4 linked regions of the Schizosaccharomyces pombe genome follow. The gene in region 2 interacts genetically with the main gene of each other region. Each region holds a gene or a part of one and is shown on either strand. Other genes may lie near its edges.

Evidence for each region.
Region 1: mutations in bdc1 (region 2) and gmh5 together harm fitness more than expected from each alone (negative genetic interaction), as found in Schizosaccharomyces pombe (2 studies listed by BioGRID).
Region 3: mutations in bdc1 (region 2) and air1 together harm fitness more than expected from each alone (negative genetic interaction), as found in Schizosaccharomyces pombe (2 studies listed by BioGRID).
Region 4: mutations in bdc1 (region 2) and ase1 together harm fitness more than expected from each alone (negative genetic interaction), as found in Schizosaccharomyces pombe (2 studies listed by BioGRID).

The regions. Positions count from the first base shown.
Region 1 is NC_003424.3:4,547,900-4,555,595, forward strand, and holds gmh5 (alpha-1,2-galactosyltransferase), read left to right. Parts: upstream 1-1,890; 5' UTR 1,891-2,026; coding exon 2,027-3,070; 3' UTR 3,071-3,343; downstream 3,344-7,696. Other genes in the region: vma2 (V-type ATPase V1 subunit B), read right to left, coding at 1-575, 669-717, 776-847, 889-929; moe1 (translation initiation factor eIF3d), read left to right, coding at 3,952-5,655; Fe-sulfur cluster assembly ATPase Nbp35, read left to right, coding at 6,216-7,169; rex1 (putative ribonuclease H70), read left to right, coding at 7,524-7,696.
Region 2 is NC_003423.3:2,422,075-2,429,067, reverse strand, and holds bdc1 (bromodomain-containing protein 1), read left to right. Parts: upstream 1-3,543; 5' UTR 3,544-3,594; coding exon 3,595-4,494; 3' UTR 4,495-4,653; downstream 4,654-6,993. Other genes in the region: rkr1 (ubiquitin-protein ligase E3), read right to left, coding at 1-2,283, 2,473-2,501; cysteine desulfurase Nfs1, read right to left, coding at 4,803-6,308; BAR adaptor protein Hob1, read left to right, coding at 6,810-6,993.
Region 3 is NC_003423.3:976,316-983,591, reverse strand, and holds air1 (TRAMP complex zinc knuckle subunit Air1), read left to right. Parts: upstream 1-2,823; 5' UTR 2,824-3,011; coding exon 3,012-3,233; intron 3,234-3,282; coding exon 3,283-3,384; intron 3,385-3,439; coding exon 3,440-4,063; 3' UTR 4,064-4,234; downstream 4,235-7,276. Other genes in the region: SHREC complex ATP-dependent chromatin remodeller Mit1, read right to left, coding at 1-1,524; U1 snRNP-associated protein Usp103, read right to left, coding at 1,699-2,021, 2,081-2,296, 2,343-2,352; ilv1 (acetolactate synthase catalytic subunit), read right to left, coding at 4,474-6,483; nucleoporin, WD repeat Nup131, read left to right, coding at 6,960-7,276. UniProt on the Schizosaccharomyces pombe protein: Component of the TRAMP (TRF4) and TRAMP5 complexes which have a poly(A) RNA polymerase activity and are involved in a post-transcriptional quality control mechanism limiting inappropriate expression of genetic information.
Region 4 is NC_003424.3:1,874,849-1,883,739, forward strand, and holds ase1 (antiparallel microtubule cross-linking factor Ase1), read left to right. Parts: upstream 1-3,340; 5' UTR 3,341-3,513; coding exon 3,514-3,937; exon of another isoform or gene 3,938-3,984; coding exon 3,985-5,756; 3' UTR 5,757-5,878; downstream 5,879-8,891. Other genes in the region: SPOM_SPAPB1A10.08 (uncharacterized protein), read left to right, coding at 1,411-2,038, 2,111-2,733; GTPase Ypt71, read right to left, coding at 6,031-6,477, 6,532-6,630, 6,982-7,062; glutamyl--tRNA (Glu) ligase Mse1, read right to left, coding at 7,623-8,891. UniProt on the Schizosaccharomyces pombe protein: Required for anaphase spindle elongation and microtubule bundling in both interphase and mitosis. Has a role in spatial and temporal regulation of septation and cytokinesis and ensures equal partition of segregating sister chromatids.

The sequences.
Region 1 (7,696 bases), on a different chromosome or scaffold from region 2:
GTGGGGTCATTGGCCAAGTTAAGGAAAAGGGTAACACGCTCAAAAGATCCATTTTCTTCGAAATCACGTTGGAAGAAACGGGCGGTTTCTAAATTAACACCCATTGCTGCAAACACGATGGAAAAGTTATCTTCATGACCATCGTGAACATCTTTAGTAGGACGTTTTACAAGACCGGCCTGACGACAAATTTGAGCAGCGATTTCATTGTGGGGAAGACCAGCAGCAGAAAAGATAGGAATCTTTTGACCACGAGCAATACTATTTAAACCATCAATCGAAGATATACCAGTTTGAATCATCTCCTCGGGATAAATACGGGCATAAGGATTGATAGGAGAACCATTGATATCAAGATAATCTTCAGCAAGCAAGTTGGGTCCTTTATCAATTGGTAAACCAGAACCATTGAAAACACGACCAAGCATATCTTCTGAAACAGGGATACGCATGGAATGACCAGTAAAATCAATGGTAGTTTTTCTAACATCGACTCCAGAAGTGCCTTCGAAAACTTGTACAATGGCTTTATGACCTGCAACTTCTAAGACTTGACCAGAACGAACGGAACCATCCTATTAATTAGCATTAATAAAGTAACGAAATAAGAAACAGAAGACATTAAGAAACACATCTTCCAAGATATATAATTTCTCAAGGGCACTTACCGGTAGGTTTAGATTAACAATCTCATTGTACTGAGGTCTACGAATGTTGCTATAGCAGAGTTAGCAATAATTCATCAAAGTACGGCTAAAAGGCTCAGAAAACGTACTCTAAAATTACTAGAGGACCAGTAATAGAATTTACAGTATTGTAAGAGAGTCGAGGTTTTATGGAATAATCCCTAAATTGTTAATACAGGCATTCGTAAAATTTTACACTTACTTTACAGCAGCAGCTGCATTGATATCAAAGAGCGACGCCATGTTAACGATTTTCTGGAGAACTAGAGGTTCAGGCAGAAGGATTTCCTAGTCATTTACGAATAAGGAGGTCTAAAAAGAGGCATTTTCTCGTTGTTAACATATGCAAAACTCGTTTAACATTGTCATTATTGAAACGGAGCTATGCACAATTTTTAAATAAGATATAGTATGAAAATAACGCTATTTACTAATAGTAAAATGCTATAACGAACTTCGTTAATTCGTAAAAAATTATGTAAAACCGATAGATTCCTCACGTATGAAACAAGAAAAATGAAGCAAGAGCGATATATACCAGTTGAATTTAATTTTGGTTTAAAAAATAAATAAATTTAAATATTTTTCAACACTTATAATATAGAATGAATGAATAAACATTGCAAGCGATATATAATAGCGCGTATGAAAATACGACGAAACACGGTGTTGTCATGATGGCAAATAACGAGGATTAATTAAATGTCTTAAATGCTGAATCGAATATTAGTAATATTGTTTCATTTAACAGAATTTCAGTGATGTTTTATCAATTGTTACATTAGAATGATTGTTTAACAATATCTAATTTTTTACATGCCGAATCCTTAATTCGAGTTGCTGCCAAGTTTCCTTCTCATGGTTGTTTACACTTTTCCTAAAACAGAATTGTTAAATTAGTTGGTAGCTGATAATTATTTGTTTACTAAACTAAATACCTTCATCGTCAAACCATGAGAAATCTGTCAGAGTCTTTGCAACTGACATATTTTATGGAAAATTTCTATCGCTAATTTATTTAGCATATCTGAGTAGATGAACGCGAGAATAAAAGTGCTAAAACTTTTTGAGTAAACAAATAAATAAAATTATGCAATCAGAATCTACTTAACTTTACCGACGTTATCGCGTACTTTGGCTATTTACTCGACGACAAGGCTATGCCAGCTTTGATACACTGGGACGTTACTTGCTCACGACTTTCGCCTTTGCCAAACAGCCTAGTTCTGTGTGAAACCTCAAACGGCATTGCCGTAGTCATATTATCATTCGAAAATATATAATTTAAAGGTTAATAAGAAGAATTAACGTAAACGTCGAGTCTTATATTATATTAAAAAATGTGGAACCCCAAAAAGAAGTCAGAAGCATTAGCTAAGTTTAAATCCTTTCCTTACCCTAAGCCAGGCACTTCCAATGTACTTGATTCCAAAGAAGGTGATACTAGAAGGAAGTATTTTACCAAGACGCATCTACATAGGTTATTCGTCTTTGTGGTACTGTTGCTCTGCTCAGGCTACTTTTTAAAGCATACACTCTTGACGCGTCCCAAAGAGAGTAATGTTGTTATGATATTTGTCAATAACATCGGAGGTGGCGTTTTAGATGTAAAAAGTCCCAGACAATGGGAGCTGGAGAAGATTTCAACGGAGAACAAGAAGAAATACGCTGAAAGGCACGGATATCATTTCTTTGTGAAGAGCACAGGCTTAAAGAGACGATATGCTCATGAATGGCGTGAATCTTGGGAAAAAGCAGATTATATCATGGAAGCCATGAAGAAATACCCTCATGCTGAATGGTTTTGGTGGGTCGATTTAACAACATTCATCATGGAACCTCAATATTCTCTTGAAAAGCTTATTATTAACAGACTTGACCATATTGCGACCAGGAATATTACTGATAGCATGGAGTTCAATCCAAAAAATTTCCACGAAATTCCATTTGTTGACTATAGTGAAGATATCAACTTTATTTTAGGGCAAGATTGCAACGGTTTCAGTTTGGGTTCTTTTCTGGTTCGTCGAAGTGATTGGACTAGCAGATTGATGGACTTCCTTTGGGATCCAGTAGTCTATGGGCAAAAGCACATGGATTGGCCTCACGATGAGCAAAATGCAATTGAGTACTTCTACGAGAATAATGCTTGGCTTCGAAGCGGCATGGGATTCGTTCCTCTTCGCCTTTTCAATTCATATCCTCCAGGTGCTTGTGCTGGTGAAGGTGAAAATCCTCGTTTCTTTTATAACCAAAAAGAAGGAGACTTCTTGGTAAACTTGGCAGGCTGTAATTATGGAAGGGACTGCCTAGATGAAATAAATCATTATAAGGGATTAGCGCAAAGAAAACGGGGTTGGAGGAAGTTAGTTCCGTTTCTTTAATAGAGACCTCACATATTTCCATCATTATTATTAATATTTTAAATTCATACTTTATCATTCTTTTTCCTTGCGTGTGCTAGGCTGTCAATGCGATCCTTTATCATGTGATGCACTAAACTCTCTCCTTTGCTACTTAGCAGCTTTTGCGGTCATTTAACACTGCTTAATATTTGGTGCTTTCCGTTTTTATACATTAATTTCTTCGCAAACAATTGTTTTAATAGGATTAGATGTGTATATTTTTTATGCGACATGTGATGACAGAAAAGAGAGAATGTCTGAGAACCTTGGCGTTCATTTTTTTCTTTCTTCAAAAGACAGCGTTGACGAAATTAAAATTTTCTAAAACATGCTTTTGTCAGAAACATTTAAGCCTTGAGACAATGACTATAAAGGCAAAGTCTGATGTCGTAATCAGTTTTAAATTATAGCATAACATATCTTTTATTTCAATATCAATTTCTCCCATTTTTTAATTTAATAACATTTAGTGCTGATATAACCTGCTAGTATGATAAAGTAATTCTACCTACTATAGTTTTATAATGTAGTGAGTGGTTGAGATTTCCACATATCGTCTTCTGAATAGGCATGTGGGTTCACAAATAAAGAAGTAGTTTGATAAATACAGTAACATATACTAATTGTTAATAGATGTAGTTTTTCTACAAATATAGCACCTTGATTGCAAAAGGAAATGTATAACATTTAACTTTTTCACGAACCAAAAAGTATATATATTACATTTAAGTACTTTTGTATTACAAATAAAGCTTTAGAACTTCAAATATTACCATTGTTGGCTTTGGTGTTTTAGCGTCTCCCAGTTCGTTTGCACACTATACTGGCGTCCACTTCGAAGAAAACTTCACCACTCCCAAATGGCAACTGGATTTAAATTGCCTGAGTTAGCACCCGTAAAATCAGCATGGGGACCTCCTGAAACGGAACAGATAGGAGGTGATATTCCTTATGCTCCTTTTAGTAAAGGTGACCGTCTTGGAAAAATTGCAGATTGGTCTGTTGATCAACCTAAAGATGGACGTGAACAACGTGGACGTCAAGGAGCATTTGCTGGTCGTTTCCGTGACCAATATCAAACTTATGGTTATGGCGCGTCGTCCATTTTTGGTTATCAGCATTCGGAGGACGAATCCAGTTTCTCGGTGATCGATCGTGGTTCTGTCAATCGTACACGCACTTCCGCTCGCAACGGCGGCACTTTATTGAAGGTTCGCGGTAGAGGACAAAACGTTCAACGAGGTGGTCGTGGCGGTCGCTACGGTTCTTCTGGTGGAAGAGGTGCAGGTGATACAGTGGTTTCTAGATCCTCAGGCGCTGGAGGAGCAAGAGGTCGTCGGTTTGGTTGGAAGGATTATGATAAACATCAACGTCTTCGCAACGCCAGTGTTACTGTTGGTGACGACTGGCAGCTTCTTGACGAGGTTGAGTTCAGCCATTTATCTAAGCTCAATTTAGCTGCTGCTGCTCCTGTTACTGTGGATTCATATGGTTATATTTATCCTTATGACAAATCTTTTGACAAGATTCATGTTAAATCAGAAAAACCATTACAAGCCTTGGACCGTGTTCATTACAACCCTACCACTACTGAAGACCCCGTTATCCAAAAACTCGCTCTTAATAGTGATGCTAACATTTTCATTACGGATTCCATTTTGTCTTTATTGATGTGTTCAACTCGCTCAGTGTATCCCTGGGATATTGTAATTACTCACCAAAGTGGAAAGCTATTCTTTGACAAACGTGAAGGCGGACCTTTTGATTATCTCACTGTCAATGAAAACGCATACGATTCTCCCATGGACGCTGACAACCGCGAAGGTGTTAATTCTCCTGGAGCCCTTTCTGTCGAAGCTACGTACATTAACCAAAACTTCTGCGTCCAAGCTTTACGTGAAACCGAAGAAGAGAAATATAAATTACCTCATCCCAATCCCTTCTATAATTCTAAGGAAGAAAGTGAGCCATTGGCTGCTCACGGTTATATCTATCGGGATGTTGATCTTTCTCTCGAGACAGACGAAAAGCCTGTTAAGCTAATGGTTCGTACCGAAGTTGACGGTTATGTTAAAAATCCTGCGAACGATGTTCAATACATTTCTATCAAGGCTCTTAATGAGTACGATCCCAAATTTACAAATGTTACTGGTTCTGTGGATTGGCGTTCCAAGCTCGAAAGTCAAAGAGGTGCTGTGTTTGCCACTGAAATGAAGAACAATAGTTGCAAGCTTGCCCGTTGGACTGTCGAAGCTTTATTGGCTGGTGTTGATAGCATGAAGGTTGGTTTTGTCAGTCGTTCAAATGCCCGTGACGCTCAGCACCACGGCATTTTGGGTGTTGTAGCTTATAAGCCTGCTGATTTGGCTTCCCAAATGAACTTAAGTTTGTCTAATGGTTGGGGTATTGTTCGTACTATTGCAGATGTCTGTTTGAAAATGCCTGATGGAAAATATGTCCTTGTAAAGGATCCCAACAGACCTATTTTACGCTTGTACTCTGTTCCACCCAACACTTTTGAAGAAGCTGCTGGACCCTCCCTTGAAGCTTCTTCTACTGCTTAAAAAGGACGGATGTAGAAAGTTCATTAAAAAGGTTACATGTATAATACTCAATTACATGTGCAAATCTAAGATCTTTAAATCGGTTTTATATTTTCGGTTTCTTTATTTTTTAATCTTATGAACTGTTTCTCGGTAAATTAGAAGCTAAGTGTAAAGTAATGTATTTGTTGGAATAGTAAAAATGAAGCGAAGGAAAATTAAGTGCCGTTTAATTCATTTGGAAATATCTGATTTTCGATGCTTCCAACGTGATTTTTTTCATGAACATTGCTTTTAACACACTTTAGGGTATTACGGTAAAAAAATTAGAACTCGATTAGTAGAAAACCGATATAGCTCATTGCCACTAGCCAAGAGATCGTAAAACGGTTTCAAGCTTAGTCAGAATATTGTGGTAAAACAAGAGGTAAAGCTTTTAGCAAAAATTCGTTTGAAGAGAATTTACACCGGATTACACTTATAATTTACCATACGTGGTTTACAAAAATAGCTACTAAAAGTTCACTAAGCACGTGAAATAAAGACTTTTACTAAGCATTTGCTTTAATATTGGCTTTTCTATGCAAATCCAAGAAACTGTTCCTTTAGATGCACCAGAGCATTGCCCCGGACCGTCATCTGAAAATGCAGGAACTGCATCAGCATGTGAAGGATGCCCTAATCAACAAATTTGCGCTTCAGCACCTCGTGGAGAAGATCCAGATTTACCATTGGTTGTAGAACGCTTGAAAGAAATCAAGCACAAAATTCTTGTTTTATCAGGTAAAGGAGGTGTTGGAAAGTCCACATTCTCTTCGCAATTAGCATGGGGGTTATCGCTTGAAGAAGACAAGCAGATCGGGTTAATGGACGTGGATATTTGCGGGCCTTCAATTCCGAGAATAATGGGTGTTGAAAAGGAGGAAGCCCATCAATCAAGCAAAGGCTGGTCCCCTATTTATGTATGCCCTAACTTGGCTGTTATGTCAATTGGATTTTTATTACCAAGCGAAGATTCATCTGTTATATGGAGGGGGCCCAAAAAAAACGGGCTGATCAAACAATTCATCAAAGACGTTAACTGGGAAAATTTAGACTATTTGATTGTTGATACTCCTCCGGGAACTAGCGATGAACATTTATCTTTGGTTCAATTTTTTAAAAATTCCGGAATTGATGGTGCTGTTGTAGTTACTACTCCTCAAGAGGTTGCTCTTCAAGACGTCCGTAAAGAAATAGATTTTTGCAGAAAGGCGTCCATCCCTATCCTTGGATTAGTGGAGAACATGAGCGGTTTTGTATGTCCTTCTTGCAAAGGCAAGTCTAATATATTCACTATTACTACAGGAGGAGGTGAAGCGTTAGCAAAAGAAATGGGACTACCATTCTTGGGTAAAATTCCTTTGGACCCATTGATTGCACGTTCATGTGATTTTGGAAAAAGCTTTATTGATGAATGTCCTGAATCGCCTGCTTCCGAAATTATCATTGATATTATTAACAAAATTGATGAGAGTTTACAGAAAAGGCAATGAAAAAAATATAAAAAAAGGTTGGAATCTGCTTAATTTCAATTTTTTTGTATAATATAAAATACGTTTATTCAAATATTTATTGAACCTTCTGAGTATATTCCTTGTATATCCTCATTGAGCACTTAAAGTAAACATGTAGTCATTGTGACATTTTTTGGATTAAAAAGAAATTTGAAATCCTTAGTTAATGGATATAATACAAGACAATGCTAAAGCCTGCAATTCAAATAAAAACTCGCAATCAACATAAGCACATTAGTATTCCGAGGATCTGAAGATGCATTGCCCGCGGAATAGCCGACCACCATAGTGATACCACCAAAATAAAAAATGTCAAAGATGGGATCCTCAAGCATGGGTGAACTTCAGGATGGGATAACCCAAGAAGACTCCATTGAAAAAAAGTCAAAGAATGTTGCTTCACACGGAGAAAAAAGGAAAGTGAAGCGAAAAAAAGAAGACCTAAGTATGGATGGTTCAAATGATGGAGTGAAAGATTCACCAGACTCTAATGACGACTCTCAGAG
Region 2 (6,993 bases):
GCTTTCTCTTTCAATAGGGAGAAGATACTTTCAAAATGAGCTGCAACATGGCCATCATCTTCTGGTTTACTGAAAAGGATCACAGGAAGCAAAGAATACAAGGATTTATTTTCATCAAATATTGTTGGAAGATGAGCTTTCAGAGAATGCAATGATGCGCACAAAATAATCAAATGATTATCAACCCAATCATTCGTAAGAAAATACTCCAAGGTCGTAAACAAAATATTTTTAATCGTTTCTTCTGGAACAAGGATTTCCTTAGACCCAATGCACGCTCTTATCATATCCCAATCGTTTCCTGGGTTTTGCATAATAGCAAATACTGCTGTATCATAGTATTCTACTAATGTTTTTACCAAGGAAATTTTCCCCCTTAGTTTTCCATCAGCAAACAAAGAGGGAAGACTATTTAAAACCCTAATATTTTCCAGTTCATCAAAGGACACTGTGAATTGATTAGCAACATTTTCCCAAGGCTCAGAGAGATCCGCGTAATCTTTAAGAAGTAAAAGAATATCACGAAGCAAAGTAAAGGCTGGAGATTGAGGCCCAAGCTTTAAAATCGAAGAAGGCAAATCATTCACCAAATATTTTTGAAAAAGTTCCTTAACGGGTTTAATCAATGTAGTATCACTGAATATGTGACAAACAGTTATTAACTGGGATGCCGATAAACATGCAATACGTTCATTTTTGTGGGTAGACAATTTCATTAAAAATGACAAACAAGGTCCCAGAATCGACATGACTTCATTTCCAGTTTGAAAATTTCTATTTTTAAGATATAAAACTGTTTGAACGGTTAAGCTTAAGTTACGTGATAAAGAATCAAATGGGATAGTTTCAATGTCCATAGATTCATCATTAAAGAAACCAAATAACACTTCGTTCCAGAGCGAGGCGAAATCTGAATTTTTATCGAATACACTTTGCAAGCAATGATCGAAATCAGACGTTGAACAGCGTAGAACAAATTCACCTTTAAAATACCTGGTAAATATAGTCCTTAAACGGTCACGGACATGATCCTTAATTTGAGGATCGGAAGAATCGGTATAAACAAATGACAAGAAATTGAGTAAACAGTCATAAACTTCAGTAGATAGGAAACGTTGTTCTTGATTTGCAGTTTCTAAGAATGCATCACACAATTCGTCTACACTTTCAATGGAAGGAACGAGCTGCATAGCGCCTATACTTTTAAACAAATTCAGCAAGGATGTGTAAAACCCAGAATTAGGAAGGCTGATTCGCTTGGTGATCAAATTTGAGAACAACTTTGAAAGAGGACGTTTTGAATCATTTGCAAATTGGTGAACCTCGTTGGGGAAATTAGAAATCATGTTACTAAGAAGCCTAAGCATAGGGACGCAGGTCAAACTAGTTAGTCGTGAAATCATTCGTGAAACACGTTTAAAATATTTCTCTTTATATTGGGTAACAAAAGGTTTATCATACTTCAAGATAATGAGCAATAAATCGCTCAGGCTCACTGTGACACCATCCTGAGGTGAGGAAACCAAAGACCAAAATTCGTCAGACTTGAAAAGTGTAGACAAGTTCTCGTAAAGAGATGACTTAAAGGTTTGCTTATCTATCTTCTTATCTGTCTCTAGATTTTCTAAATCGGCAGTCTGTTTGAAAAGAAAAGAAAGGGTCAGAAGACAGCTAGATTTAACTCTGGTAACTTTCGATTCAGCTTCTTCATTTGAAAAAAAACGCAAATCCGTTAACGATTCTTTGTCTTCATGTAAAAAAACATCAGTGACTATAGGTGCGATAGTAGATCCAAACTTCAGCCAAACATGGGGCCACTTTTCTTCGGAGAGTAAATTTTTAAAAGAGTCTTTTGCTGATACAGAGACTGCACGATCTGAATCAAAAAAACCCATAACCCAAGGTGTGATATAGAATTTGAGCCATGGTGCAAGTTTTTTTTGAAGCGCAGAAGATAGAACAGACATGAAGACAAAGATTTTTAACCGCACATGTCGTTCCACTTCTATAGATAGTCGAGGAAATAAAACTGCCAAAGCATTTAGAAACTGTTCATTGTCAAACTGTGATGGGTCATTCCACTGAATTAAATCTTGTAAAGCTCGACATTTCGTTACGATGTCACGCTTTTGCAAATTCTTCACAATAACAATCATTTCTGCGTCTAAACCAGACAAGTCTGGAGGCTCATATATCGTACTAAAATTTGAGCTGGACTCATCCAACGCAATTTGCAAGGATGAAAACGATCCTGACATCGATTGCATCCCGGGATTTTTACGGCTATAAAGAGATTAGCATTTCGGCACATACATAAAGAAAAAAGAATCGTTGTATTTTTAAACAAACTTCCCCAAAATATGGAAAAGTATGGATTTGTAATAACATAGGTGTTCTGCATATATCCAATGAGAAAGACCCTATTTTGTGTGCAAACCCATTTTGTTACCATCTTCTCACATCTTTACTTACCCGTATAAATCCGTAGATTTTTTTTTCATCTTTTTTTTTAGTTTACAATGCAATGGAATGCAGCGGATCAATTTGGCACAAAGAATGAAAAATTACAAAGGAAATCAGATATCAGTCTGTCCGACGTTATCATAGGTTATTGATAACGTTGTTTTAAGCAATTCATTGTGGTATGCAATGCTTTATAAACTGATACTTTAAAGCTTAACTATTTGTGATGACGGAAAAGGAATTAAGTAGCTTGCTAAACTGTATATCATGTCAGCAATACTACACTACGCTATGATACACTACGTTGCGTATCACTATATGTCACATGTTCTAATTATATATCGTACCATGTATGATACGATATGGAGATTGATCTTAATGATAATCTATTAAGATCAATATTATCTGAATACTATAAATAGAGCTACTGCTGAACCTCGTTCCTCAGTTCAGTTATGAGCTATATTAGTGATAGGTAACATTATAACCCAGTTAATACAATACCTATACTCAGTTGCTACTTATACAACCTGTGTATTGTAATATAATAGATCACAAGGAAAACTCACCGCAGTTCTACGTATCCTTAAATCAGATACCAAACTGCGTAGCTTACATATCAGATTCTTTAATTGCAATCGCAAAACTTATTTAAAGTAACTTATCAAACGGTGTCATCTACAAAATACCTTATCTAATTTAAGGATGCAGTAAAAATACGATGATTTTTATTGCGATCTGTTCAATATTGCGTTAGTTACAGAAAACGTTGGAAACTTGGTTAGTATGATGTGACTATCCAGCAAAATTTAAAGATTTTACGCAAAAGGTTTATAGAACATAATTCACTGGTATCATAGGAATCAATTACAATTTGACAAACTGCAATTCTATAGAAGTCTTCAAACTAAGACATTGAATTATTAAGATATGCAACATGTGTAAGGTTGGCAACTAACGTAAATTATTTAGCATTGTTGCGTTAATGAAGTTTTACAGCAATCTCTAACGAGAATTTAGGTTTTACGCGCACGCCGTATGAAGGAGGTAGTACACTACGAAAAGAAGGACTCCCTTTCTACCGTGTCTTGTCTTGTAAAATTAGTGGAGATGATGCAAGTATAGTGCATAATGAATATTGCTCAAGAGGTTGCTGTTTTACAATATCTTGATATTCAGCAAGAAAATCCTAATGCTCCCAACGAAGAACTCTTCAATCGAACGGCAGAAAGCAGCCTGCTTTTAGAGCCAATTGAACAAGATCAATTAAAGGATCTGGTCGAGGAATGGATGCATGATAGCAATAAATCTGATTCAAAGCTTCTCTCCAACCAAGTTTCTCAAAACGATAATGATGCTCGAAAAAATCTACGAAAAAGGCTGCGGAACGATGTCCTAAAGGATTTGGCTGAAGAGATACAGGGATGTGAAAAAAAACTGGAAAGCTTATATGAAGAGGTTGCAAAGGCAAAGGCAAAAGCTGTGGAGGATCAACTCGCACTTGAAGAAGCTGACAAGGAAGCAAAAAAAGCGAAAACTGAAGCTCCTGTAGAGGCTGCTAATAAATCTCTTCGTTCTAGAAAGAAAACACCAGAGATTGCAGCTCCTGCAAATATCGAACCCGAAGTTGCACCCACAACTAAGACTCCAAAAAAGCGCGCTGCCCTGTCTAATGAAGAAAAGCAGTCTTTGAAAAAGTTCCAAAGTGCAATGCTTCCTATGCTCGACAATATTTCTAATCACAGGTTTGGAGCACCTTTTAGTCATCCTGTAAATCGTAAAGAGGCACCAGATTACGATTCTTTAGTTTATAAACCTCAAGACTTACGAACATTGAAGAATATGATCAAAGAGGGTAACATCACGGAAGTGGATGAATTGTATCGAGAAGTTCTTCGAATCTTTGCTAATTGTAAAATGTACAATGGCAGCGATCCAGCCAACGCCATGTCCATATGGGGAGATGAATGTTTTCGCTACACAGAAGAGCTTTTCGATATTTATCGTCAGGCAAGTACCCGTTCTCAATGAGTGTTTTACATTTTAATTATATTCCTTAACATTTTTTGTTTATGCTTTGGATTCATATCATTTTTTGGCTATAATTTTGACGACTTGGGGGTACATATTTTTTAAATGGTACTATATTTTATTTTTATCAAATTTATGTTTTTTTTTATATCATAACCGTGTATTTATTTCGTATAGATTCAAATCAAGTATGAGATAATTTACAATTTAGTTTTTTGTAACTATATAACAGCTGGTAAAAAGTTTCAACTTCCATACGTTCATATAAAAAAAAAATAAAATCTTCAATAGGTAAAATTAAGCGTTCTTCAATGTTGACTCCATTCTATAGTACTAAGATCGACACCCTCCTGAACCAAATCCCATAACGGGCTCATATTCCTTAAGAAAGAAACTTGTCTACTCACATTTTCAATAGCATAATCAATTTCGGCTTCAGTTGTAAATCGGCCAATACCAAAACGAATAGAACTGTGAGCATTTTCATCACTCTGACCAATTGCACGCAAAACGTAAGACGGTTCTAGAGATGCGGATGTGCAGGCAGAACCAGAAGACAGCGCGATATTTTTCAAACCCATAAGCAACGATTCCCCTTCTACATAATTGAAAGAAATGTTGACACAACCTGGATATCTAGATTTAGGGTCGCCATTCAAAGATGTATATGGGATTGCAAGAAGGCCATCTATTAATCTTTGGGATAGTTTGGAAATATGTGCATAATCATACTTCATTTCTTCTTTGCATATACGGGCCGCAGTACCAAATCCCACTACTTGAGATGGAGCAAGAGTACCACTTCGTAAACCTCGTTCCTGACCTCCACCACTAATAAGCGGCTCTAAACGTACACGAGGACGTCTTCTAACATAAGCGGCTCCAATTCCTTTAGGGCCGTAAATTTTGTGAGCAGAAATAGACATTAAATCAATGTTCATTCGATTGACGTCAATGTCAATTTTTCCATATCCTTGAGCAGCATCTGAGTGAAAGAAAACCTTCTTCTGTCGACAAATTTTGCCAATCTCTTCTAGTGGTTGACAAACACCAATTTCATTATTGACGGCCATTACACTTACACAAACAGTATCAGGACGTATGGCGTCACGTAATTCATCCAAATTAATAAGGCCATTAGTTTGAACAGGTAGAAAAGTAACTTCAAACCCTTCTTCTTGGAGAGCACGTAAGGAATCCAAAACGCATTTGTGCTCAGTTTGAACGGAAACAAGATGCTTTTTCCTACTTTTGTAAAATCGGGCAACACCTTTCAAAATAGCATTATTTGATTCAGTTGCGCCAGATGTAAAAATAATTTCTCTTGGATCAGCATTGATTACAGATGCTATCTCTTGGCGTGCATTTTCAACAGCTTTTTCTGCTTCCCAGCCATAGGCGTGTGTTCGACTATGTGGGTTTCCATAAATTCCAGTGAAGAAGGGAAGCATACTATCTAGTACACGATAGTCGAGAGGAGAGGTAGCTTGAAAATCCATATATATAGGATGCAATCCCGTAACCGTACTAGCAGCGGTTTGTGCTTGATCCAAAGTTACTGTTTTCAAAGAATTTTCCGGTATGGGCTCTTGAACCGCCGTCATGTTTCCTAGCCCGTACATTTGTTCACGAGGTTTATTGCTCATTGAAGGTTTGTCCATACGACTGGAAGTCATAAACGACCTACCGTAAACTCCAAGACTCTGTCTAACATTATTAATATCCTGACTCTCTCGCTTGACAAAAAATAAAGCACTTCGTAGTTCAAGAAGGCATCTTGCTCTAGAAAGCATCAAACTTCCCATTTTGGACATGGTTGTTTCCAAAATAGAGGAAATTTTGCTAATTCTTTATTTATTTCCTAAACAACAAGAAACAAGTCCTTTTTAAAATAATTTGGCAGTTGCTAAGTTCAAATTTTGCGATCTGACTAATAAAAATTTTGGTTGGCGGCGTATCTGAAACCAACCAAAACTAAGCTTCGACCCAATACATGTAGAGCTGCGCAATTATCAGTATGTTATCATTGCATCGTAAACGACGGAGACACTGTTCAATCGAATAAAAACTGTAATAAAGAGCATAGAGACGAGCAAATTAAAATCAAATGTTTGCCTTATATTTACTATGTTTTCACCTCATCTAGATAAAAATAAAAATAAAAATAACGAGACGTTGCGTAGTATACTGTATTTGCGATTCGGCACAATTACAGGAAACGATCAGCATTGCTGCGAAGTATGCTACGTGAATACGGAGAAGGATGGTTAAGGGAATTTGAAAGGGTCAGACATACCAACTACCAGAATTACTTGATGAGCTGGAAAGGGTTTACAAAGGCACTTGCGCGTACGCCGCAGACTCTACGCAGCAAGTTTAATGTTGGAGAGATTACCAAAGATCCTATTTATGAGGATGCTGGAAGACGGTTTAAGTCTTTAGAAACGGAAGCGAAAAAGCTGGCTGAAGACGCCAAAAAGTATACTGATGCTATTAATG
Region 3 (7,276 bases), 1.4 Mb from region 2:
GCGATTTCTATCTGTTTCTTTAGGAGGTGGTTCCCAATTTGACATATAATAAGTTAAACCACGCCAAGAAACAAAGGCGAATGTAACTTCAGAAATTGCCTTCAGTTGATGTTTTTTTGTTTTATATTTTGCCGTTCGAGCATTCTTTCCACTTCTATATTGAACATCCCAAACCTTATCGATTATTGTATACGATACTGGAATAATGGGCTTAGTTGCGTCGTATGAGGCATTCTCCAAACCATCGAAATTTTTCTTTTTAGCTAATGAAATACCGGCTAGCCATGAAGCAGAACACCAAAAACAGTGAAGGTAAGACTTACCTTTGCTTCGAACGAAATACTCTCTAGACCAAAAGCTCAAGTCCGATGTACTAACAAAATTATTTGAAAGGGTAGCTTTTGAAGGATATAAACTGTTTAGAGTTCTCCAAGCAATTATCTCTTCAATATCACAAGGATGCATAGAACATTCATTACAAACAAGTTTTTTTATAAAATGAGTAATTGTTCTCTGAATAGACAAAGGATTACTGTCCAGATAAAAAAAATATTCGACACGCCTACATCGAAAACACCGAAACCTTATAGACTTGCAGTAATTGACTAAAATTGACAGAGATTCCCTATCAGCAAGGGATGGGGGGATAACTAGATCCTGTCCAGAAGAAACGCCTGAAACAAACCCGGTATTACACAAAACGTCCTTAGAGTTTTTGGAACATAAAGGACATATAAAACCATTTTGCTGAGAGTAATTACGCGTTTCTTTATTTAAAGAAGGGAGTGGAGAACAGTCATAGTGGTATACATTTGAGCAATGATCACAGTAAACAAAATTTTTACCAGAGGAACGATGTTCACGTCCATGACATTTGACACATACACAGACGTGTAAAAATTTGATAAAATCAAATCCGTCAGAGTAAAGAAGTGAGAAATAAGGAGCTTTATTATCGTTTTCTGTGGACTCAATTTCCGAAGAACTTAGATCGGAGCTACCAAAGTCGGACGTGTCATTGAAAGATAAATGCGACAACGATAACTCATTATGCTCTTTTCTATTAACCTTCTTATTTGTATCAGATGAAGATGAAGTTGCACTGTCAGAAGCCGTTTCATCACTGACAAATGAAGGATTAAGTGCGCAGTGAAATTCCTTTCCGAACTTAAATTTCTTGGTACGTGTTGAGTCCCTTAAGACTTTACTACCATTAGACTTCAGTAAATAATCATTTTTCTCTTCCTCATCCTTATCGGTTGAAGTCATATACCCATGGTACCTCTTTCGAGATTTGTGTTTTAACCATACTCTTAAACAAGCTTTTCCATTTTTATATTTATCAAGTTCATCTTTTTTTATCAATGCTTCAACACCCGCCAAGAATTTAACACTCAGTGTGCTGTCATTTTCGTGCAGTATTTTTTGAACGGTGGTTTCAGACGCGTCATAATAAGGTAGTAAAACATCAAGCGGTTCACGACGTACTACTATTTTACATAAAGAATCATCTTCTTTTGGCATGCTTTGAGATGAATATCTAAATATTCTTGGTAAATACTGTGTATTTGGAGTTGTCCTTAAATTTCACTACGTAACGCAAAGAGAAAGAATTACCAGTAGTAAACGGTTATAAACAATAGCTATTATACAGTACATTAATAGTAACAAACAAGTTTTAATCTTTTAGATGTCATTTTAAGCACGTACAAACCTTTGATGACTTCTTTGACCCTGATGGTGGGTTTTAGTAAAATGGTTATTAGCATTCGAATGAGTACGCGCGCGTTGATGTTCATTTGTCTGAGGAAGAGATTGCTGCTGTTGTGTAAGTTGAGTGTTAGAAGAAGCTGTAGTCTGGGGAGCTGAAAAAGCTACTTGGTTTGTTAAATTTACAGCAGGCATCATAGGGACGAATGCAGCAGCATTCATAGCATTCATTCCTTTAGGAGCCATATAGGTATTTGCGGATACAATGTAGGGCGGTGGTGGACATCCTAAGTTAAAGACATTATATTTGGCTAAAATTCGGAATATTAGACTTCGTATTCAACAAAAGTATTATAAAGTAATAACTTACGAGGAAACGCATAAGCATAAGGAAGGTCTAGCGAACCATTCCCCTTTTTTAAAAATCCAGAGGATGCCCTTTCTTCAAGTTGTTTTTGGGCTTCTTCTTGAGCTACTTTCGTATAGTAGTCCTGAACATTTTGTATATGGGCTCTTCCAGCATTGTGTGCTTTTCTAACTGATTGGCTATCATGAGTGAGCCAAACTTGGCAGTAATCACACAAATCTAAGCATTAATTAGTTTTCAATTATTGTTATTCATCGTATCATACATCTTGGCATTTTAGCGTGTTTGGCTGTTGTTGAGTCTTGTAATAAATGTGAGCTGTGTTGAAACGCTAAAATGATTTAAAAAGAAATTAATGTCAATTAGCAACAACTATACAAAGAACGTTCATAGTTAAACATTGAATGTTAAATTACTGTTTATCTATGCTTTACAAAGTGTTGAAACGAAGCTCTCGAATTTTCAACTACTTTAAAATCCAACGCCTTGAAGAGTCGGGAAGGTGCAATCATTTAATATTTTAATATAATTAAGTTACTGCTGTACTTTCAATATCTCTTCACGATCAGGGCTTTTAAGTACCAGACATTCTTGGTTATGCATTAAGTGTTGCATTTGAGAGAACAATTGTAATTTGGAGTATAAGTTATTTATTGAATTTCATTTATTGTCATGCTCATTTCAATGAAATAAACTTCTCATGAGAAAGCCAGATATAATCCATGTAAGGTGAATACTCACACCTTAACCAAAAATTTTTTGCCTTTACTGAAACTATTAAATTTCCATTTGATAGTTAAATACTTGAAGTGTTTTATGTTTTATTTGCTTTTAAACTGTTAAATTGATTGGGAATATTGTGAAGTAAACTACTGGCCGGCTGTTAAGTGTTAAAGAAAACTGTGCTTGCCATTATTACATTGCTTGTCAATATATGGACATGACTGTTTCAAACCAAAAAGCAGAAAGTGATGATGGTTCAGACATCGACGATGCGGCCTTGTTACAAAAAATTAATTCTTTACCGATTGACCAGAGTATCACAAATTCGGTGAGCTTGGAAAAGCATGATTTTCAAGGAAGTGATGACCATGACTCCTCTACGGATCTTTCCGATAGTACTTTGGAAGATGTGGAAGGAAGTGAATGGGCAGACGTATGGATTGAAAAGTTTTTTTTTAATACTTTTTACTAATAAAATTTAGGTGAGCAGGGGTAGATACTTCGGGTCAGATCCCTCAGAAAGTATAGTTTGCCATAATTGTAAAGGGAATGGTCACATATCTAAAGATTGTCCTCATGTTCTGGTATGCATTTTGATCGGACATTGTTTTTTTAATAGTGTTACTAACTGTATTACAGTGTACGACTTGTGGAGCAATTGATGATCATATTTCCGTAAGATGCCCCTGGACTAAGAAGTGCATGAATTGTGGACTACTGGGTCATATAGCTGCGCGATGTTCGGAGCCGCGAAAAAGAGGACCTAGAGTTTGTCGGACTTGTCATACCGATACTCATACTAGTTCGACGTGTCCTTTAATTTGGAGGTATTATGTCGAAAAAGAACATCCTGTTCGCATTGATGTTTCTGAGGTTCGAAAGTTTTGTTATAATTGTGCATCTGATGAACATTTTGGAGACGACTGTACTCTTCCATCTAGATCAAATTATCCTGAAAGCACTGCATTTTGTGAAGCGAACTGTCCTTCTGGAAATGATGCATCTAACAAGGAGTTTTTTGAAACCCGTCGTAAAGAGTTTCAATTGGAGAGGCGAGAGCAGAATCGAAATCAAAAATCGTCGAAACAACGGCCTTTTCACAAACCAGGAAATTCTCTAGCATCTAGGCTGGGATCTAAGCCAAAAAGCTTTAAAAGAAAACATAGCCCACCTTCTGAGGAGAATGGCAATTTATCCTTTCATTCTTCAGATGGAAGAAAATTTACCAAAACTTCAAAAAAAAATCGTAAACGAAAATGGTAATTCATGTGCTGGTATTATTCATCGCATGGTGTATCGCTCTGCTCACATTGCATTGCACTCATTGATAATACTATCTTACTAAAATTTATTGGCAAAATCTAAAATATATGTACATTAATTTTATACACTCTCATTTGCTATGTTCGCAAAATTTGTAATGTTATTGACCTCCATCATCAAAATTAAATACAAGCTATGATAACGGAGTAAACCATAGTTAGAAAGCAAAACAAAAAAAAACAACCAAAATCGAAGATAACAAGGCAAAACAAACAAATTTGCTTTAGGGTAAATAATGACAAACCGCCCACCAGAGTCTAAAAGAATGTGACACGATAATTAACGCAAGTTTAAATAAGTGTTACATCTGACTCTTACAAAATAGCTGTTTTTAAATTAATCAAAAAAATTTATGAAAGGCTTTCATGCAAAATAAATTGGTGAAGAGCCTTACCACCAGGGACAAATGGATACACATGTTCCTTTTGGGCAACCAAAACTTCCATAAGCACAGGACCTTTAGTTGACAAAAACTCCTTCATTTTTTTAGCCAAATCTTCTCTCTTTTCTACACGTAGTGCTTTGATGCCCATAGCGTCAGCCAACTTAACGAAGTTGGGATTCTTTTGATGAGTATGAGAATAGCGTTTCTCATAAAACAAGTTTTGCCATTGAGTGACCATGCCTTGCTCTTCATTATTTAGGATAAGAATTTTAACTGGGATATCAAATTGACGGACGGTAGCAAGTTCCATACCAGTCATTGAAAATGAAGCATCACCATCAATATCTATAACAATATCTTTAGGTGCAGCAACGCTAGCACCTATGGCAGCTGGGAGACCAAATCCCATAGTACCGAGACCACCGGAGGTTACCAAAGAACTAGGTTTTGTCCAACGATAGAATGTAGCGGCCCACATTTGATGTGCACCGACACCGGTGGTAATAGTGACTTTGTCCTTTATGTCAGAAGTTTGTTTGTCAAGTTCTTGAATGACTTCTTGAGGCTTTACCAATTCACCAGGAGCGCTACGAGTGAAAGTGAAAGGGAAGCGTTCCTTCCATGTTTGAATTTGAGATAACCAGTCAAATCGGGAAGGAATTTTAATATTTTTAGTAGCAGAATCTAAAAGCTTTAGAGATTCGTATACATCGCCCTCTATTGCTTCAGTAGGTTGTACGACCTTACCGATATTTTTGGGTGAAATATCAAAGTGAATAATACCGCCACGCTCTTCGGCAGCAGCAAGACGTGCTTGAGGAGCAAACAAACTTACGTTACCGGTGACACGGTCGTCAAAGCGAACACCAAGAGCAAGGATAAGATCGGCTTCCTGCATGGCCATATTAGCGTATCCACTACCATGCATACCGAGCATATGCAAACTAAGGTCAGAACGTTCATCTACAGCACCAAGTCCAAGCAAAGAAGTAGTAACAGGAATTTGCAGCCTTTCGCTAAACTTGCGTAACAAAGTGGGGCATTCGGGATTAGCTAAAACACCATGCCCACAGAAAATCACAGGCTTCTTGGCTAATTTTAGTAAATTGGCAACACGATCGATCTTGGCAGTAACGTTCTTGGAGCCCTCTTCTAAGACTTCCTTCATTCTGCGATTCATTGATGGTACAGAAGACAGTATAGGAATGGGCTCCTTCAAAACGCTAGCAGTGACATCTTTGGGAAGGTCAACCAATACAGGGCCAGGGCGTCCAGAAGTAGCTATCTCAAAAGCTTCGTCTATACGACGGGGAAGATCAGCAACATCTTTGACCATTACATTCCATTTAGTACATGAACGAGAAATACCAACCATGTCAGCTTCTTGAAATGCATCACTACCAATTGCGCTGGTTGCTACTTGACCAGAGAATACAACTAGGGGAGTACCGTCGGCCAATGCATCAGCAATCGGGGTAATCACATTCGTAGCACCGGGTCCAGAAGTAACCAATACAACGCCGGGTTTTTTAGTAACGCGGGAATAAGCTTGGGCTGCATGTCCAGCAGCTTGCTCGTGTCTTGGCAAGATAAATTCAAAATGAGGAGATCTATAAATTGCATCGAAGACAGGCAAGATAGCACCACCTGGATAACCAAATACATGCTTAACATTATGCTTGAGCATCATATCATGGAAAATTTCACCCCCAGTCTTTCCAACAAACGAGCTGTCATATTTTATAGGACTAGCCGTAGTCACTGTAGAGGTGCTTTTGGTCGAATTTGCCCGAACGACACCGAATGCATTTTTTAATTTTTTAATTCTCAAATTATTACTAAAGCCGGTGCCATACCTCCGCACAGCTGAGCAACTATTTAAATTTAAAAATCTCTTTTGAAGGGCAATTTCTCGTCCATAAGACGAGAAAGCCGCCCTCGTATGCAATCTTCTAAGGGGAGCCAGCACAGTCATTATAAATAACTTTTAACCCTCAATTCCTTTCTAGAAAGAGCTATCTTTCAAGTTGCAAAAGATCGGTATGCTGAGCGGTATGAGAAGTGAGCAGGTTCATTTTTGCCTAAAAACATTGGTTGTTCACCACCACAAAAAAGATCAGATTTGTTAACGATAAGTACTGTACCCCGGAGATTAAATATACCGATGCATAATACTATACCCTTTGAAGTCGTGTTATTATTCTTTAAAAAGTTCAGATGATGTAGGAATACAATTTATCTATTTATCCATGTCTCCTTAATTTTTTAAACATTAGTAAATGCTGGAAAACGTCAAATAAATTTTTCTTGATCCTAAATTATAAGTTTCCTATCGATTCAGCTTAGAAAATCGTCAGAATTATCTTTGAGCATAATCTGTTTAACACGTAAGAGATCTTAGATACTTTCGCTTTTTTAAACATTAGTGAGCCTCTTATTAGAGGAATTGCAATGTTTATTGTACATCGACGGTTTTTTCAAAATGAAAAAGCTTTTACGCCTGCAGGAAAACATGAAAAAGTTGCCGACGGAAACAAACATGAGACATTAGCTACTTCAGAATACCCGAAAGTCTGTGCATCAAATGACTTGTACAAAATACTCCAAATATCTGCTCCTAAGGTTGGCAATTTTACAATCCATGATGCGCCAGTTGTTGGACTAATTGACTCTATTTTGGAATATTATTTGTATATTAGTGTCAAAGTTCGAAAGGCATGGATTGCTGGTTATGGAAGTCAGCCCCAAAACTTAATATGCTTTGATTG
Region 4 (8,891 bases), on a different chromosome or scaffold from region 2:
CCATTTTCTTGTGACTTTACCATCAGAACTAGTGAGTAACGAAATATGCTAAGTTTTGGATAGGAGGAAATTTTACTAGTACGAAAAAATCTCGACTTTCCTCCATTAGCTGAACAAAGAAATATGCTTTTCCCAATCCGTATGCGGTTGATGTAACGGAATGTGTAAGGGAAATGACTATCTTTTAATTTAAATCTATTTTACGTTTATCACACTGACTACTCGGCTATGAAGGGGAGAGAATGTAATAGCGATAAAATTTTCAAATGTATTTCAATTACTTAGAAAAGATATTCAGTATCCTTTTTCTTTTTTGAAAGCATACAAATCATAAATAAAAACTCATATTGTTCATATACTGTTTGTCACATAACCCTTCGTATTACTAATACAAACAACGATAATTCAAGCCTTAGTAATTAACCTAGCGTTGCCAAATATCAACAATACAAAGTTCCGAATTGCCCTTGTAAATACGGATCTGCAAACTGGGAATTTGAGAGAAACAGCAAAGAGCATATACAAGTTTGCCATTGGGAATACAGGTGAGCTCCGACTCGTTCTTTAAAGAAAGCTATTCAGAAAGTGATTTTGAAATCCGAAATATCTTCTCATACGTCTCTGTATAGGTCTTCCTCAGTCACATTTGGATATCAAATCATTCATCGCATCTCATCATCATTATTCCTATAGATCCCATTTTTACTTATACCACACTTTGTCCTTTCTTTATCCTTAATACATTCATCCGTGGCTGCGCAAAACCAGTCACTGCCGCTGCTGTTAGACTTCGTAAAAACGTATAAGCAACGCTGGTGAAGGAGGAAAATACTTTGGTTATTTCTAGCAAAGTCAACAATACCCAAGCCCCGCGGAATTTTATCCGGACTTCGGCATTCATCCTCTCGCCTATAGAGGAGTAATATTACGGTAAACAAGCAACCACTTGTCTCTTCCGGTCTTTAAAATCAGCAATTCTCCTTGCTTTCCCTATTTACCATCCCTACTTCACAATTCCTTGATTGCTGTTTTTTTGTAAAAATTGGGTTTATTTTTCAACAGTAATCATTCCTTTGCTTGTAAAAGCCAGGAATTTTGGCTAGTGCTTTTAGCCTGCTGAAGTTTCATCACCCGTGAACGTGTGTAATTTAATTGCCTTCATTCGATAATCAGTTTTCACATTCTTTTGCTGTAAAACGAGAACTAGAAGCAATTGAGCCTTTTATTCGTCTTTTGAAGGCTTTAACGTTTGTTTGTTGTATTTTTAGAAAGCTCGAAGGTCGTATAGCTTTCCAACATTGTAGCTTCTAATTCACTTTATGAACTGCTTTGCAATTAGAAACCGGTAGGATTTGATCAATTGGCTTTATATATAGGCGCTATATTTTCTTTCTTTTTACATTTCTTTCTATGATGACTCGGATGGAATTAAGACCATTGGAAATTGGCTTCTCTAAAGCACTCACAGAAGTAGCTCCGGTAACTTGTCAATGCGAATGTTGGGATCATAATCTTTGCAGCTCTCAAGCTAGTGAGATGGATTTAATTTATCAGTCTCAGGATACCCATTCTTGTGCATCAAAGCAAGACGCCGTTTTTCAGTTGCTGAGTGAAACCAAGATCCCTGTTCCCAATCGTTATAGAAAAATTTCACATCGCTTGAGTACTCTATCTAATAAAAAAACTCTTAAATCACAATTAGATCGTTTTTTGTCTTCGTCCAAAAAATTACACAATGATGATGTTAATAGAGGTGATTACTGCTTTCTTCTTTCTACACCTGTCGAGTGTTCTGCTTCTACCAACTCTCATTCTTACGACTGTTTGTGGAATTTTTCGTGTAATTCATTCCCTGAATACTCCTCCTACTCTGCTTCGGAAACGTCTTCAGTCGCTTCTTACTCTTACTATTCGGGGCCAAATCCTGCAACTCCCAGCTCTTCCTCTTGTAACCTCGTAAACGCAAATAGCCTTGATATTTACTTGAATATTAACAACTTAAAAAAATCCAAATCTGTTCCTCGTTTAAGAGGTCAATGTATGTTCTTTTAAGATTTTTCAACCTTTTCTCTTATCTTTTATTTATTCATCGTTGCTAACAATATCATAGTTATGGAGCCCGTAGAGCATAACCATCCACTTTCTAAAAGTCTTGAGGAGCAATCCTCTTTTTTGGAACAATCAAAGGATGCTTCCTCTAACTTGACCGCCTGCAATAGGAGTGGCTCTAGTTTATCATCTAATTTCTACTCATCTAGGTTGTCCAAAAAAACATCTTTAGCATCTTTAAATAAGTCTCGAGCTTCTTTACAGCATAAAATAATGTCGCTATCTCGTAATATCATCAGACGTGTATTTCACAAGCCAGAAGTGCATTTGGATCCAAGTGCCTCCATTTTAAATCTCTCATCTTCGCATGGCGAAAGCAACCTGACAAATGGTTTGCTTTGTCAAAATTTCAAGCTTTTTCAGGATGATTGGTTGATGGAGGATTGTGCGCCAGATGCCAATTTCACTTTGTACACCCCGCTTCAACCCTGGGAAAAGCGAAGTGTGAAACCTGAAATCAGACGTCCTCGATTAAATCCTAATTTTTTCCGAGTATTTGTTTTAGAAGCTCAAATGCGACGAGCTGGAAAGCTATCAGCAAACACTGCTGGCCGAGCCCAGTTAATTTACCTCCCAAAGCCTGCCGTTACCTTCTCCACTAGCCCTTTGCATGTTGAATTGTAAAAATTTAACGCATGACTTATATACATTTGCATTCTTCCAAGCTGGTTATATTTATTTTCATTTTTTTCTCACCCAATACTTTTTTATCCCTACTGTCTTTATGGACAATCGACTCACAATTGTTTCTTTTTGTTGTATATGATTTTTTTTTTAAAGGAAATGGGTTTCGCGATACTGGGTTGAATCCCAATTGCGGTTAATATTACATAAAATAATTCTCCCATAGTCCTAGATCCTGTCTTTGAATATGAGCAAATAAAAGAATTGAACAAATCATGAATGCTTTTCTCTCTTAGATGATATTTTGTATGCATAAGTCTAATTATATTGATTACGATAAGACTTAAAAAGTAAGCCTTTGTATCCTTTTAAGCAGTATTTGAATTTTCTTGTATCATATTTTAGGTAGAGCAAAAGATACCAGTTTGTAGAACTTTATGTGCTTCCTTACATTGGTATATTTCAGGCACATAAATATTCTTCAACTTACAATTCTAAGTATTTTGTTTATACTAAAAGGAGCTGAATAACGTTTATACAGTGCTGACATTGAAATCTATTTGCTTTCTTTGGAATATAAGCGCATGCTGAGTTACTTTCGCAGGCCAAGCCATATCCAACCACCATTTTTGTGCCAAGCTTTTATGCAAGGTTAATTCCTTGTACTGCTTGTTATGTTATAATATATCAACATCTTAACAGTTTTCATATCTTCCTTTATATTCTATTAATTGAATTTCAAACATCGTTTTATTGAGCTCATTTACATCAACCGGTTCAATGCAAACAGTAATGATGGATGACATTCAAAGCACTGATTCTATTGCTGAAAAAGATAATCACTCTAATAATGAATCTAACTTTACTTGGAAAGCGTTTCGTGAACAAGTGGAAAAGCATTTTTCTAAAATTGAAAGGCTTCACCAAGTCCTTGGAACAGATGGAGACAATTCATCATTATTTGAGTTGTTTACAACGGCAATGAATGCCCAGCTTCATGAAATGGAACAGTGCCAGAAAAAACTTGAAGATGACTGTCAGCAAAGAATTGATTCAATCAGATTTTTGGTTTCCTCATTAAAGTTAACGGATGATACTTCTAGTCTCAAAATTGAGTCTCCTTTAATTCAGTGTTTGAATCGTTTGTCAATGGTAGAAGGACAATATATGGCACAGTATGATCAAAAGTTAAGTACGATTAAAGGTATGTAATCGTCTTTAATTTAGACTTGTGTTTTAACTGATGTATAGAAATGTATCACAAATTGGAGTCATATTGTAACCGCTTAGGAAGTCCGTTCGTTTTACCTGATTTTGAGAATTCATTTTTATCTGATGTATCCGATGCTTTTACTGAATCTTTGAGAGGACGCATCAACGAAGCCGAAAAGGAGATTGATGCGAGATTAGAGGTTATTAATTCCTTTGAAGAAGAAATTTTGGGTTTGTGGTCTGAACTCGGTGTTGAGCCCGCTGATGTTCCACAATACGAACAATTGCTTGAATCCCATACTAATCGACCAAATGATGTTTATGTTACTCAAGAACTTATCGACCAACTTTGCAAGCAAAAAGAAGTTTTTTCCGCTGAAAAAGAAAAGAGAAGTGATCATTTAAAAAGTATACAATCAGAAGTTAGCAACTTGTGGAATAAGCTTCAAGTTTCTCCCAATGAACAAAGTCAATTTGGCGATTCATCAAACATTAATCAAGAAAATATTTCATTATGGGAAACTGAACTTGAAAAACTTCATCAGTTAAAAAAGGAGCATTTACCCATTTTTTTAGAAGACTGTCGTCAACAAATTCTTCAGCTTTGGGATTCTCTGTTTTATTCAGAAGAACAAAGAAAGTCCTTTACACCTATGTATGAAGACATTATTACAGAGCAGGTTCTTACGGCCCATGAAAACTATATAAAGCAACTAGAGGCCGAAGTTTCTGCTAATAAGTCCTTTTTAAGCTTAATTAATCGCTATGCCTCTTTAATAGAAGGAAAGAAAGAGCTTGAAGCTAGTTCTAATGATGCCTCTCGTCTAACACAACGGGGACGCCGGGACCCAGGTTTACTTCTACGTGAAGAGAAAATCCGTAAGCGACTTTCTAGAGAACTTCCTAAGGTTCAGTCGCTGCTTATACCAGAGATTACAGCATGGGAAGAAAGAAATGGAAGGACGTTCCTTTTTTATGATGAACCACTTCTCAAGATTTGCCAAGAGGCCACTCAACCAAAATCATTATATAGAAGTGCAAGTGCTGCCGCAAACCGCCCGAAAACAGCAACTACAACGGACTCTGTTAATAGAACACCTTCTCAACGAGGGCGTGTAGCTGTACCTTCAACACCAAGTGTTAGGTCCGCTTCTCGAGCTATGACGAGTCCAAGGACACCGCTTCCTAGAGTAAAAAACACTCAAAATCCAAGTCGTTCCATTAGTGCAGAACCGCCATCAGCAACCAGTACCGCCAATAGAAGACACCCCACTGCTAATCGAATTGATATAAACGCTAGATTAAACAGTGCTAGTCGGTCTCGAAGCGCGAACATGATAAGACAAGGGGCAAATGGTAGTGACAGCAATATGTCTTCTTCACCCGTTTCTGGAAATTCCAATACCCCTTTTAACAAGTTTCCAAATTCTGTATCTCGCAATACACATTTTGAATCCAAGTCACCGCACCCAAATTACTCTCGAACTCCTCATGAAACGTATTCAAAGGCTTCATCTAAGAACGTCCCATTAAGTCCTCCAAAGCAGCGTGTAGTTAATGAACACGCTTTAAATATTATGTCGGAAAAATTGCAAAGAACTAATCTGAAAGAACAAACACCCGAGATGGACATTGAAAACAGCTCGCAGAACCTTCCTTTTTCTCCTATGAAGATATCCCCCATAAGAGCATCACCCGTAAAGACAATTCCATCATCACCGTCCCCCACTACCAACATTTTTTCTGCTCCACTCAACAATATTACAAATTGTACACCGATGGAGGATGAATGGGGAGAAGAAGGCTTTTAAGCTTCTTATTTACCTAATCGATCAAATTTAAATATACATATTTTTGCATATGAATACAGCATATAGATAATTCATAAAAGTTTATTAACTGAGGTCATAATTAAAAGACTATTTACACCTAAAAAAAAACGTGTATCAATAGAGGGAAAAGAGAAGAATTAAGAACAGAAAGTAACCATAGTTTTGTTAAAATAGCAATGTAAAAAAATATTATGAAAAGAAAACGTATAGCACATTTTGAAATGTAAAAGAATCTGAGAGAGCGTGTGAATATCTAGCAATTACAAGAAGATGTATTATTCAAAGGCTTTGAAAGAAGCAAAGGTTCAGAGAAGTCATTAACAAAGTCATCTCTCGAGCTTTCATTTTCTAAAGCTAAACGACTGACTGTTTCGAAAAGGTCAGTAACGTTTGTATTTTCTTTTGCACTAGCTTCAAAATGAATCATATTTGATCCATGTTTGGATTTGCAATAGTCAAGAGCTCGATGAAGAGATACGGCTCGTTTAGACGCGTCTTTGTCGATTTGATTTCCAACGATAATGAAAGGGAATGCACATTCATCTTGTGAAGTTTGATATAAAAATTCTTGCCTCCAGTTTTCTACTGAGTCAAAAGACTTCGAGTTATTCACATTATAAACAATTACACAACAATCGGCCCCTCTGTAAAAAGCCATTCCCAGGCTTTGAAATCGTTCTTGACCAGCAGTATCCCAAAGCTGTTTATAATTAGCAAACGAATTTAGATGGGCGGAACTTATATTGGAACTTACCTGTAATGTGACCAATTTGTCGTCAACCACAACGTCCTTGGTTAAAAAATCAGCACCGATGGTAGCTTTATATTCGCGACTAAACTTTTGATTGACGAACTAAAATGACGATGTTAACAAATTGCCAAAGCAATACTCATAGAGAAGCTGATGTAAAGATCGTTAACCATATTTGAGCTAGTATTTAATAACAAAGTGAATAAATTTTAAAAGCAATCACCTTGTAGCGACAAATAACAACTTATCGACATAAAATCAATGGGAAATTGCAGTATTGGATTTTACAGCTCAATACAAAAACCAAAAAGAAAAATATACTGAACGTATAAAATTTAACGCTTCAATTGATAACCACTACACCATCAATGGTTGAATTCGAGGGTAATGCTTAAAAAAGCTCGTCTGTACGATACGTCGACCACATCAGCAACTCCCCTAGCATTAACATACCTGATTCATTAAACATGTTTTTCCAACGCCACTATCTCCTAATATAACAACCTTTAAAAACACCCTTTTCTGAGCCGACATTGAAGTATATTCTGTCGTACCTGGTAGTAAGAAGTTCAGCCCTTAGAATGTCCATCTGGGACAGCATTGATAGTGTCTTTCAGTTTGACACATTACAGTAAGTAGCATTACAATACTTCGTTGCATAGCGTTGTTTTAAATACGAATCTTTACCGTAAATTTTTATAACAATATTTAACGAAAACGAATAACTCACTAAGTTTTTAATAAGATACATTTGCTTTCAATAGACATTACAGTGAAGGATCTAGTTATCTGACTACTATCCTGGGAAGTCAACTAGTACTGTAAGCAAACTAATAATTTGCTTTTACATAAAGAAAATCAGTGAATTTGATTTTATATTTCACTTTGAAAGTTATTGAACATTTACTGCTTACAACAAATTTGTTGAATGATGCTACTTGCTTTTTTTTGTAGCTAATCTAATGAGAATTTATATTTGTGCATAAAGTTCCTTTCCGTAAAACGCATTGTAGATATACGATTGATAAAAATGCTATTATATTCTCTGCATCAAAAGTATCAAAGAAAAAACGATTGTATCTGGTTAGTTAGAATTATACGATACAACTTCTTTTGGGTAATTCATGCTTTAGTGATAATAGTAAACGCTCCAAACGGGATTTTACTGTTTCCTTCCCCAATAAACTAATAGTATCGCTAATACCTCCTCCAGGCAGATTTCCACATAAGCCATATCGAAGTAAAGACTGTATTTTTTTCAAAGGCATCTGATGCTCCATGGCAATTTCTTTTAAACTAATCTGTATCTCATGAGTATTCCATTCGATGGTTTCGAACTTGTTTAAAATTGTTGTTAAAATTTTTGGAAGCTCTTCTACCGTGATGAGGGAGGAAACTAAACTTCTAATTTGTTGAAGGTCAGATGCCTCATAAAAATAGAACACTATCTTCTCAAACTCCTTAATCGTGTGCACTTTATTTTTTAAAAGTAGCAAGAGTTTTTTAGTGTAACTTTTGTCATGACTTCTAGAAGAATGAGAAAACTTTTGGATCAACCTCGGCTGAACCAGTTCGATAAGCTCATCGAGTCTGTTAACATCTGATATCGCTCTCCTCAGGTAATTTTTGTTTAAAAAGTAAAGCTTTTCAAAGGCAACAATTGAGGAGCTCTTTGTTAGTTTATCGATCGAAAACAGATCGATAAGTTCTTTCATCGGGAGAAAATCACTTTTCTGACGCGAAGACCAGCCCATTAAGGCAATAAAATTAAGAATTGCTTCAGGAAGAAACCCTTCTTGAAGAAGACTAGATACATGTGCATCATTTTGTCGCTTACTGAGCTTTGACCCGTCAGGGTTGACTAAAAGTGGAAGATGAGCAAATTTGGGAGGTTTCCATCCAAATGCTTCATAAAGTTGTATATGCTTAATCGTAGATGGTACCCATTCCTCTCCTCTAATAACGTGAGTGATATGCATTAAATGATCGTCAACGACATTGGCAAAATGGTATGTGGGAAATCCATCAGATTTTAAAATTACAAAATTATTAGATTCCTCTATTTCTCTGGAATCTGATTTTATTGCAATTTTTCCATACACCAAATCAGTGAATGGTGAAGGTTCCTTCATTCGGAATCGAACAACGTAAGGGAATTTTTTAGATTTATAAAGCTTTCTTTGAGCATCAGTCAAGTCATCAATTGATATTTCATGATATTTTGTAGATGAATCAATTTTGGTAGTAGCGATAGGGACCGAATAAGATACATAGGCTCTCCCAGTTTCTATTAAGTGCTGAGCATACTTTTGGTAAATTTGTAAACGGCTCGACTGTTCATAAGGACCATAGGGACCACCGAC